Linked DNA regions of Ovis aries. The protein of the gene in region 2 interacts with the protein of the main gene of each other region in a pairwise test. Links are inferred from orthologs where the notes say so. Each region holds a gene or a part of one and is shown on either strand. Other genes may lie near its edges.

Region 1 (6,363 bases), on a different chromosome or scaffold from region 2:
GCCTGGCAGGCCACAGTCCATAGGGTCACAAAGAGTCAGACACGACTTAGCGACTAAATCACCAAGTGTTTAATTTATGTATGAATGAAGCCCAGAGCCTCATATCATGTGTGGCAGATATGATACGGCACCTACTTCCCCATTTCAGACAAGTGAGTGTGTCTTAGGCCACACAGCTAAAAAGCTCCATCTCCTGGCACAACGGTCTGTACGTTTTCTCCTGTCCTGTCATTCATGAAGGATGTGTTCTTCATGTCACATCCCAGCCACTGAACTTTCCTCTACGATAGCATTGTCTCAGCTAGGTTCTGCAGACTTTAGTTCTGTTAGGATATAAATTCTGCCAAAATTGGATTCAAGGAGGTGATAGTGGCTTAAACAAAATAAAACAGATTTTCCTTACTACAAGACTTCTCAGAACCTATATGCTCCCATGCATTTGTAACTCATATGCTTTATGAGAATACTCGATAATTTTGGGGTATATGTACATGTGTAGTGAGGGGGGCAATCTGCAGAAGCCACTTTCTAAAATACTTTGAACATGATCCCCAGAGTTGTCAATGAAGATTGTTTTTTAATAACATAGTTATTAAAACTACCTTTGAACATAAAGAGGATGATATGAGCAAACTTGAGTTTACAATTAAATTGTTGGATTATAGCTCTGTGGTACGGATTTTATGACTGTCAGAGCCTCTCTACTCAAACCAGCTCTTCGTGCCATTGTCATGGGAAGTCAGTGATGGTAGTCAGATCCACAGTGTCCTCATTTTCTCCTTTCCTGTGTCCCTGCACTTACCCATTCTGGACCATGTCTACCCAGAACAAGTAAAGATTGGCCCAGCATCTCTGTGTCTCTTAGGTGTGAGCACCACCAACTCAGTTTCAGTAACGTGGTAGCTGAAATTTTGCAAGGAGATGAAATATTTGCAACCTGCAGCAATAAGATCTTCTGGTGGAATGTGAGCACAGTGGAAGTGAAGATGAGAGTTATGTTGACAACTGAACTGGTTCCTCTTTTCAGGAGCCTTAAAAAAGAAATAGGGTTCATCTGTACTATTTTTCTAGATTCCACATATGTGTGTTAATACACGATATTTGTTTTTCTGTTTCTGTTTCACTCTGCAGGAATAGAAACAGACATAGAGACCAGATGTGCGGACAAGGGGGCATGGGGAAGGTGGGATGAGTTGGAGACTGGGATTGACATATGTATATGACCATGTGTAAAATAGATAGCTAGTGGGAACCTGCTGTGTAGCACAGGGAGCTCAGCTCAGTGCTCCGTGATGACCTAGAAGTGTGGGATGGGGAGTAAGGGAGGTCTAGGAGGAGGTAGAAACATGTACATGTAGCTGATTCTCTTCATTGTACAGCAGAGACCAACACAACATTATAAAGCAATTATACTACAATAAAAGAATTAAAATGGTTTCATTCTTTTCCATTACAGGAGAAAACACAGGACAGACACCCATGAATATCAACCCTCAGCAGACCCGTTTCCCTGATTTTCTTGACTGTCTTCCAGGAACAAACGTTGATCTGGGAACTTTGGAATCTGAAGATCTGATCCCCCTCTTCACTGATGTAGAATCTGCTCTGAACAAAAGCGAGCCTTTTCTAACCTGGCTGTAATTAATATCATTGTAGCTTGGATGCAGCCGTGACCTGACATTTCCTGGGCCTCTTGGAAAAAGCGATGGAGCAGAGCAAGGTGGCAGGTGAGCTACCTCCTGCCTCCATCACACATGCTCCCTCCTTTCCTTGTGGCCAGTTTAATAATTGCCTGGATTTGATTGGCAGTCACTGAAGTTAAACATGAATAAACATTCTATTTCTGTTTTCTGCAAGCCTGCATTCCTGTGATGGGTTGTGCAGCAGAATTGATTATGCAGAATTGCTTCTTTGTTTTCCTCTCTGCTGCCCCATGACCAAGCTTTATGGGTGTTAGCTGAAATTTATACATCAATTGATTATAAACCATGAAAAACTGATGACCACAGGCAGTGACTTTTGACAGGTGGCTCGGTCCAGGAAATGTACACAAAACTCGACCTGATTTACAGTTTCAAAAACTGTATTGATGACATTAGTACCAAATGCTTTAAAGAATATTTAACTTGAGCTTTAAAAATCATTGTACTGATAGTAAAATTCTGCTGTTTGGAATACAGTGTAGTTTTCAATTCATGCAGGTTCTGATGGCTCTTATTACCTGTATTCTCAAAGGCACACAGAGTCCTATTGTGTATCCTTCTTCATTTTACTGCACAGCATCTAGACAACTATCCTTCTAACAGGAGAGTGGCAATGGCATTCGTTACAGTTCCTACACCAAGATCTCATGAAAGAGAAAGAGACCAGTTTGGTACTAATTTTGAACATTTATTAAACAAACGGTTTTTAAATGACAAGTTGGATTTTTAAGAAAATTACAGCTTAGAATATGATGTCTATTTTATGAAGCACTATCATTTGGTGACTGATGACAAATTTCAGCCAAATGTTTTTGATAAATCAGTGGCAACTATATTTTTGTCCTTTGAAACTGTTCTGAAAACATCAGTACCACATAGCTTTCAACCTGATGGCATACAGTGAGCTGTTGCTTTTAAAATTCTGAAGCCTTGTTGGCTTTTCTTCTTTCAAGATTTCTAGGGTTTAAAATAATCTTATCTATGAAGCTGTTTGAAGGATGAAGCAGATCTCTGACTGATGGGTCAAAAAATGCCCCCTGAGGGTGTATGGTGGAGACCCTTAGTGTTTCTGAAGTCACTAAAGTTGATTCCTAGGTGTATTATCCTAATCCTGTTTGCTACAGTTGGTATAGAAAGGCATGAAATATGTACTCAGTACCTCTTATGTAACCAAAACCATTTTTTTTTGTTTGTTTTTTATTAGCTTTTAAGGACTGAGAGAGAGCATCGGGTTCGCCTGGCATGCACTCTGCCTGCATTGCCAATGAAGTCCTCAATTGTTTAATATTTTGAACTGACATTATTTATAATCTATGAATTTAATATCTTTTTTGAGAGACATTAATAATGCAGGTCTCTGAGAGGAACCTTTCCATTCCCAGAGGGGCTTATTTGCTGGGGATCTGAGATCCTTTTTGATCTACCAAAAGACAGACAGGCAGAATACATCTTATCTTGTTGGAATGAAGGCAAGTGTAAAGGTCAGAGATGAAGTAGTAACGTTAGGGAATACAGTGGAAAGGCTACTAGGTGTGAGATGGAAATAGACAAGCTATGGTGCCCCAAAAGCAAAAGGAGAAGGAGGTGTGAGGTGCCCCCAAAGAACAAAGCAATGATTTTCTCCTACAACTTTTGTACCAAAAGACTGTTGTAGAAGAAAAGAAGGCTTCGGTGCACTTTCTGTGGGAGAAGGAGGCACAGCGCTCGTGTTGCCCTGTCCACGCTGATGTTAAGTGAGTAGGCGGATGAGAGCTTAAACCTACTGTTGCTTCCAACACAAAGAAGTGACTTTTTTCCCCTGAAGGACCCATGGTTTCTCTTCCTCTGATTCTATCTCTTTTTCAAAACGTTCTGAGAGATGAGGGTAGATGTTTCTATTGCTACTATATTGAAGGGAGCACTATTTCTTTTTCTCTTCTGTTAGCAATAATTGCAAAAAGCATTGTACATTCTTTCTAAGAAAAAGCAAAAAAAAAAAAAAAAGACTCAAAAACAAGGGACCTAGTAAAACGGAGCAGTGTTACTGTATTTTTTAAAAATATTTTTATAGATTCATTTTCAGGTTATTAAACATTAAAGAAACAATTATCCCTCCTTTTTTTAAGTAGTTAAAACATTGATGATTTGTATTATCAATTTTTAGAAATAATTTCCTAGTAAGCTTGTGGCATTAGAAAACACTAGAAGAATTTTTTTTTAGTGAGATTAGTTGGAACATTTATTAATGAACATAACAATTATTTTTCCAGAATTAGACACAGATCCTGACTACATGTTTACTAATAAATGAAGCCAGATCTAATTTTTGTTGTTATTTTTAAGGCCATGTTATATGGCCTTTGTTAAAGAACACTAAAGCTAGAAATCTAGAAACAACTTTTTAAAGGTTCTTTCCTATTATTGTAAGTGTTAAAACCCCTGCAGAATTCATGATAAGGTGCTATTTATACTATATTTCTTATTATAAAATGACTGCCAAATATCGTGTCTTTTTAGTCCTAAGTCAATCAGTAGATTTCAACATTTCATCCAGGTTAAAAATGGAAAAATAATTTCAGAAATCTTTCTTTTAAGGTATTTTCTTTCCCTGATAAAACACATTTCCTTGAAGCCAATACATTGTCAAGACCTATTTGCAATTCTGTTAAATCTAAGTAATTATTAGTGTTTCACCATAGAATTTAGGATGTGATATGCCTTTCTTTCGCTGATTATACAATATAAGTAAAAACAGAGTAAAACAGTTAGTGTGCTGGGGGTGTTACTGACTCCAGCTTGGCAGAAAATCTCTCTGGAGAAGAAGGTGATCAGGAGTGAGAGAGTTTTACTAATGACAAGTGATGTTCTCATAACAGAAAGCAACTTCCAGAAGTGCAACTTTTATGACAAACAAAAGCTGTTAAAAGGAAATTGTAGATTAATTTAATTGGGAAAGTAGGTTATCAACAGAGACTGTTTCCCTAACACACTACATCATTTATGTGTTCGTATTTTAACTTTTAAAAAAATTATTTCTACATTTTGTAATATGATATATGTGTGTTTATTTTTAATTCAAATTGCTATGCATATAGAGAATATGCAGAAAAATCAATCAGATCAAACTATTTTACCCGGAGTTTGGTACTGGTTTTTACTTCTCTGATTCTGTATAAGAAAAATAAATACAATTGAATTTCCACTTGGAGTCTTTATCTTGTCATGATTTGTGTGTGTTCTTTTTACTGAGGGCTTTGGGTGGTACTGGAGGAAAGCTTATGTAACCTTCCTGGCAGACAATGAAGGAAAGAAAATTTTGTAGACAAACATTTTTTTGGCTCAAATGCCTGGTTTTCAATATTCTAAATATCCAGAGTTCTGGTTTCTACTTTATTTGAAGTAACTCACTGAGACTTTAAAAACTCTGTGTGTGTGTGTGTGTTTGTGTCCTTGTGCTAAGTCACTTCAGTTGTGTCTGACTTTTTGCAACCCCATGGACCGTATCCCACCAGGCTCCTCCGTCCATGGGATTCTCCAAGCAAGAATACTGGAGTAGGTTGCCATTTCCTCTTCCAGGGAATCTTCCTGACCCAGGAATTGAACCCAAGTCAGCCCTTCCAACAACCTTGCAGATCTGACTGAAGCATCAGGACTAAAGTATTTTTCTTTGTTTCTCTGTCATTAACAATATGCTGTGGCTTCTTGGGCTTCCCTGGTGGCACAGACAATAAAGAACGCAATGCAGGAAACCTGGTTCAGTCCCTGGGTTGGGAAGATGCCCTGGAGGAGGCCATAGCAACCCCCTCCAGTATTCTTGCTTGGAGAATCCCATGGACAGAGGAGTCTGGAGGGCTACAGAACATAGGGTCGCAAAGTGTCAGACATAACTGAGTGACTAAGCACAGTGTGACTTCTTGTCAAACCAAAAGCAGCTCATCATTCACTCTGTGACAGTGTATTTCCTCTGTCTTTTGAGCCCCCTGATTCTTGCTGTGGTGACACTTTATGATGTGAGGGCTCTTTTAGTAGCAGAGTGTTTTTAAGCAGAAGCACTCAGCTGAACAACAAAAGAAGAAATCCTGGGGGAAACAACTTAGCAACAGTCCAGAGTCTAAGCCTCATGGATCTTTTTTAAAACTGTATTTCATCATTACTTTTAAGTTAACAGAGGCTCTCTGTTGAAAGTGTTATAAGTACCAACACGTATAAAGTAAAAATATGAAAGTTCTCTATCTTTCAAGTCTCACACTTCAAAAAATATGTTTGTTAGATTTTTTCCCCCTATAAGCTGGATTTTTTTAACAAAAGAAGAGCAATTCTAATGATATTACTGATACATATTGAACATTTACTAAGTGACAGACACTCTGCAAAACATTTGATATGAATTATCTAATTTAATCTGCACATCAACACTATTATTTCAATACTGTCCTCATTTTACAGATGAAGAAACTGAGGCTTAGAGAGGTAAAATAATTTTTATAAGGGTACATAGTAAGCAAGAAATATATCCAAAAGCTCAAGATTGCTCTTCCATGCGAGTACATGTGTATTTTATTATATTTAACAATAAGTAATATCCTTTTGCATGGGTGTCCCCTCTTGGTAATCAGTTGGTTGTTTTCAGTTTTTGCCCTTAAAATAGTACTGGACGTAGCAGTTTGTCCTTTTGATATTT
Region 2 (5,624 bases):
AGGCCCTGCCAACCCGGTGCTGTTCCCATTTTAAAGGGGTTCTGCACGAGGGTGCCAATACCTCTCAGAGCAGTTAGAGGAGGGGCCGAGTGGAAGGGGACCGGTGTTGGGGAGACTGATCTGGAGGCAGAACTGAGATGCAAGTCTAGGGTGGCTGGGCTCACAGGGCCACAGAGATGGCAAGGGGCTGACCCCCCAGAGCCATTGCTGAAAGGCACCGGCAGGGTCTCGTTGTGCTGAAGGCCAGTGTGAGGTCCTGTCTGCTGGGCAGTTGGTACCTGGTGGGCAGCAGGGGCCAGGCTCTTGACACTGTTTCTGTCGCACAGCCTGACTTTACCCCAGGCCTGCGTGTGAATGGGCGGGGCGGCTTTCTGAGGTTCCTCATCCATGTTCTTTCTGAGCACCGCCCCCTCAGTCGTGTCCTGGCCCTGGGGCCTGGGCCGTGACCTCCACCAAGACCCCTCTGAGTCACTACCCGGCCCTCGCCCTTGTCTCCCTCCAGGCAGACCTCAACACTGACATGGAGGACGAGGGCGGCTCCTTCTACGGGGTGTCCAGCCAGTACGAGAGCCCCGAGAACATGGTCATCACCTGCTCCACCAAGGTGTGCTCCTTCGGCAAGCAGGTGGTGGAGAAAGTAGAGGTAGGCCATGCTGCCCACCTGGGCTCTGGCCCCTCACGCGCACACACACACCGCCCCCAGCTTGGGCTTCTCGCCTCTTCCCCTAGATTTGTCTGAATTAGGGCAGTCTCACCCTCACCTCGTCCTTACCACTGACAGCCTGCCTCACGCCCAGCACGAGCCGGGGAGTGGTGGGAGGCCAGGCACCCCCATCCTGGTGGTTCTCACCGGCTGTACATCAGGTCTTGGGGGGCCAACACCCTGGCACTGAGTCCCCCACAGTGTTTAACCCCAGACCTCTCCCACCTGCGGGTGGTGTCTGGGAACCGCCGGGCTGGCGGTGGGCGGCGGCCTCCTAAGCCGCGCGTCCCCGGCCCTGCAGACCGAGTGCGCGCGCTACGAGAACGGCCACTACTCCTACCGCATCCACCGCTCCCCGCTCTGCGAGTACATGGTCAACTTCATCCACAAGCTGAGGCACCTGCCCGAGAAGCACATGATGAACAGTGTGCTGGAGAACTTCACCATCCTGCAGGTGTGGGGGGACAGGCGTGCGTGTGTGCAGATGTGGGAAGGCAGGTGTGTGTGTGGGGGACAGGCGTGCATGTGTGCAGATGTGGGAAGGCAGATGTGTGTGGGGGGGACAGGTGAGTGTGCAGGTGTGGGAAGGCAGGTGTGGGGGGAAGGTGGGTGGTGTGTGCTGGTGTGAAGTCAGGTGTGGGGGGGAGGTGGGTGGAGTGTGCAGGTGTGAAGGCAGGTGTGAGGGGAAGGTGGGTGGTGTGTGCAGGTGTGGGGGAACAGGTGTGTGTGTGGGAGCAGGTGGAAAGGCAGGTGTCTGGGGGGGACAGGTGTGAAGACAAGTGTGGGGAAACAGATGTGTGTGTGTGCAGGTGTGGGAAGGCAGGTGTGTGTGTGTGGGGACAGGTGTGCGATGTGTGTGTGTGTGCAGGTGTGAAGGCAGGTGTGGGGGGAAGGTGGGTGGTATATGCAGGTGTGGGGGGACAGGTGTGTGCGTGTGTGCCAATGTGGGAAGGCACGGGTGTGTGTGGGGGGACAGGTGTGTGGTGTGTGCAGGTGTGGGAAGGCAGGTGTGTGTGTGGGGACAGGTGTGTGGTATGTGCAGGTGTGGGAAGGCAGATGTGTGTGTAGGGACAGGTGTGTGGTGTGTGCAGGTGTGGGGTGACAGGTGTGTGGTGTGTGCAGGTGTGTGGCGACAGGTGTGTGGTGTGTGCAGGTGTGGGGGGACAGGTGTGTGCTGTGTGCAGGTGTGGGAAGGTAGGTGTGTGTGTGTGGGGGGGTGGGTGGTGGGCGGAGCGGACAGCACACTGTCTCCCACACCCCACAGGTGGTCACCAACAGAGACACCCAGGAGACCCTGCTGTGCGTCGCGTACGTCTTCGAGGTGTCAGCGAGCGAGCACGGGGCTCAGCACCACATCTACCGGCTGGTGAAGGAGTAGAGACCAGGGACAGGGAGGGGGTGACATCACGTGTGCAGGGACGAGGGGAGGGGCCCCATGGGGCAGCCCCCGAAGCACCGAGAGTTGAGGTGGTGACTCTTCTACCCAGGAGCAAATTCTGCCTGAACCTGCAATTGCCCAAGCCCAATAAACCCCAGCTCTGTGCGTCTTCAGAGGCCCCGTCTGGCTGCGCGAGCCCCGGGAGGGCTGAGGGAAAAGGGGCCGGATGCCACCCCGGGCGTGGCTGTGAAGCCAGGGCTCCGTGGACTCGGCCAGGACGGTTGCCAGCTGCCGACGCTCAAGATGGCATGTCCCCGAGCTGCCCTGGAGGCCTTGCCCCCGGCTCCGGCCACAGTGGGAGGCCTGGGGACAGGCACGGGTCCCCCACCTGTGTGTCCTGTGCGGGCACCTCGGCCACCGGGAGTGATGTGTCTGCCTCACTTTCCCCACCGCCTCTGCTGCCGCTCCCTCTGAACAGCCGACGGGGAGGCCGGCCCAGCTCGGGGGTGGGTTTCAGGTGTGGAGGTTAGACAGGGGCAATCAGAGCTCTTTAGCTCCAGTGGGCGTGAACTCTCTGGCCCTGCCAGCTGTCTGGGGGGTGGGTTCCAGGTCAGGGGGGGCCCAAGACAGAGAGGGTAGGAGTGCTGGGGCCAGCTTCTGAGTGTGGGTGGGGGCTCTGGGGTTCCTCGGTGTCCTCTTCGGTGGTGAAGGCCAGGAACGTTGGTCTGAGGTCCGCGCTGTTCTGGTGGTCTTTGAGACCATGCAGTTGGTATGCCTTGCCATCTCACAGCAAACGCCTCCCAGCCAAGAAGCCTGCTGGGTGGTGACCACCTCGAGGCAGCCGCGCTGACCACCCCCTCCCCGGACGGAAGGTTCTATGCACCCTGGGGATGGAGGAGAGGGGAGTGGAGCCCACCCTGGGCCTGGGGGGACCCCTCAGCTGAGGGAATTTCCCTGGTCTGTTCCTCCTGGCAACTGGCCTCAGTCCTAGGGCTCCCCGCTGCCTGCCCTGTCTCAGCGTGTGTCCTTTCCTGCCTGTAGAGGGGGACGGCCTTAGTGAGGAGGACATGTCTGTATAGTGCCTGACGCAAGGTGCACTAAAGAGAGAAAAAGTTACCGTCCTCTTACCCCTCCTGGCCCTTGGGATACTGGGAACCGGCTCTTTGCTGCCATCTAGTGGCTGTTTGCTATCATCTTGCCTAATAGGGACCCACACTTCCCGGAGCCTGGAACCCAAGGAGACTAAGAGTCACGTGCAGGAGTTTTGTGTGCTGATCTCAGGGACATGTGTGGGGATATGAAGTGAATAAGATGGTGTTGAGGAGGTGTTGTGTGGTTAGGAGCCAGGGCTCCAGAGTCAGTGGCTAGGATTGGAATCCTGGTGCTCAGCTTTGGACTGTGTGGCCTTGGGGAAGTTACCTAATTTCACTGTGCCTCAGTTTCCCCATCTGTACAATGGGTATAACAATAGTACCTACCTCGTATATGTAGAGTGCCTAGCGTGGTGCCAAGCACACGAGCGCGTGCTGTGAGTATGCATTATTATTAATAGCACTGACTCTTGCAGTCTGAGGAGTCAGCTTGGGAGACTCTTAAGTGGGGGTGGGGTGGTCCTCAGAGCAACTGGAATTCAGAGGTGGGAGGGGGTGGGGCTTGGAAGGTTCAGGGAAGAGGCGGAAATTGAGAGGGGCTGCTTCTTGAAAGAGAGGCATTGCCTAGATGAACAGCCTGAAGGGGCAGTCTGCTGGCAGCTCTGGACAGGGCAGGAGGACCAGCCCTCCAGCTTCCTTCTGGACAGCTGCTAGACCCCGGGCCAAGTCGTATCTCCCTCCTGGGTGCTGGGGCCTGGGTGCGAGGGGTCCCTGAGTCTCTGAGAATTGTCTACCGTCTTTGTGTGGTTTGGGTCTGGGGAGGCTTTCCTGCCCACCCCTGGTCACTGTCATGGCCTTTGCCCTCCCACCTCCCCACCCGTGTTCCCGGAGCTGTCAGGATAAAGGGAGCCCGTGACCTCTGTGCCCGCACAGGACTGAACCTTCGGACAAACACTGGTGTATGAGTAGCCTTGGGCCCTGGGACAGATGCACAAACTGCGTCCATCGTTTTGTGTCCTGGGTCTAGGGAGTCCATGTAGATGTTGGGGCCAGAGCTGGCTTCGAGTGTTCCCTTCTCTTTAGGGCCTGGTCTCAGCAGCCTAATGGACAGTCACCTACTTAGAGCTGGAAAGTCCAGACCGTTCCACCACCGGGAACATAGGTCTAGGCGCCTCTCCCTGAGGCGCAGTGCAGACCGTGACCCTCGGGGCCAACAAATGGGAGGTCCCACCCGGCCCGCTTCTCCTGCGCCATCATCTCACACACATCCCCTCCTAGCCACTCTCTGCCTCTAGTCTTGGCACCTCATGTCCCCTGGCCAGCAGGCCCCTGGAGAACTGTCACTCATTCTTGCATGGAGTGACACTCCCAGCATGGAGCCACTCCTGCAGAAGGGATGCTGGCTCCTGCCTGGCGGGGGAAAGGCATTCCACTCACAACCCATCAGGGCACCTGTCACCCGTCCCTGCGCACTGGGGCTGAGACATCTCTTCCATTCTCAGCCGGGGGTGCTGTGCTCTCCCCATTTTAAAGATGAGGGAGGGGCGTCCAGAGAGGCCAGCTAACTTGCTTGGAGTCTTCTGGAATCTGAATGCATGTATTCACCAGCTTAACACATGTTTATTTAACTTCTGGTTCGTACCAGACACAGGGATGTACAGACGGCTGAGACAGATGGGGTCTCTGGGAAGCTTATGTCTTACTAAGGAGGGAAGACAAACCGAGTGGGTAAAGGGTGGGTAGACTGACGGGGGACCACCAGGAGACGAGAGAGGCCCTGGGACCTGGGGAGGGTGGCGTGTGCGTGGGGACAGTGGGGAGGCCGTGTCAGGAGCTGAGAGAGGGAGCTGCAGGTCCAGATGTGGCCCAGGTCCTGGCCCCCAAGGTCAGGAAGAGCTTGGATTTTCCTCTGTATGCTGGGAGGTCCTGGAAGGGTCTCAAGTGAGGGAGTAATACTGTCGAGTCTGGTTTCTGGGAAACACCACCAGGCGGCTGTGGCCCACAGCACAGTGCCATTGTTTCTGGGTCTGTCTTACCCTTGGACGCCGCATCAGGGGCAGGGGAGCCACTGCAGGGCAGAGGGGTCCTGCTCTGCCACCTTCCACAACCCAAACCCCACGTCTGGGGCACGGCAGCTGCCTGGTGAACATTCGAAGGTGCGTGATCTGTGCCTTTGGGGCTGTGAGGTTCCTGGAGTCTGTGCGCCCCTTAGGGATAGAACCCTCCTGATGGCACTGGGAGCCAGGAGGTGGGGACGTTGAAACTGGACTGTGCCTGACCCGTGGGGTCTGGTGACTAGGCAGGGCCCTGACGGTCATCAGGGACTTTACATTGAGTGGGGGTGCTCTTCCTGATGGGGTCAGCCCCATACAACAGGAGTTGAGGGGCATGTGGGCTGGATCCAATGGGTGAGGAGTGTGGGGCCGGGGCACTTGCTCCCCTCCCACCCATG

Evidence for each region. The genes of interacting proteins can lie anywhere in the genome.
Region 1: the proteins of TEAD4 (region 2) and WWTR1 interact in binary tests that used the Homo sapiens proteins (3 or more experiments, as listed by UniProt). The two-hybrid records come from large-scale screens. The link is inferred for Ovis aries from reciprocal best matches to the Homo sapiens genes TEAD4 and WWTR1.

The regions. Positions count from the first base shown.
Region 1 is NC_056054.1:239,357,751-239,364,113, forward strand, and holds the end of WWTR1 (WW domain-containing transcription regulator protein 1), read left to right. Parts: intron 1-1,456; coding exon 1,457-1,641; 3' UTR 1,642-4,884; downstream 4,885-6,363. UniProt on the Homo sapiens protein: Transcriptional coactivator which acts as a downstream regulatory target in the Hippo signaling pathway that plays a pivotal role in organ size control and tumor suppression by restricting proliferation and promoting apoptosis.
Region 2 is NC_056056.1:212,612,374-212,617,997, reverse strand, and holds part of TEAD4 (transcriptional enhancer factor TEF-3), read left to right. Parts: intron 1-502; coding exon 503-643; intron 644-1,004; coding exon 1,005-1,157; intron 1,158-1,967; coding exon 1,968-2,081; 3' UTR 2,082-5,624. UniProt on the Homo sapiens protein: Transcription factor which plays a key role in the Hippo signaling pathway, a pathway involved in organ size control and tumor suppression by restricting proliferation and promoting apoptosis.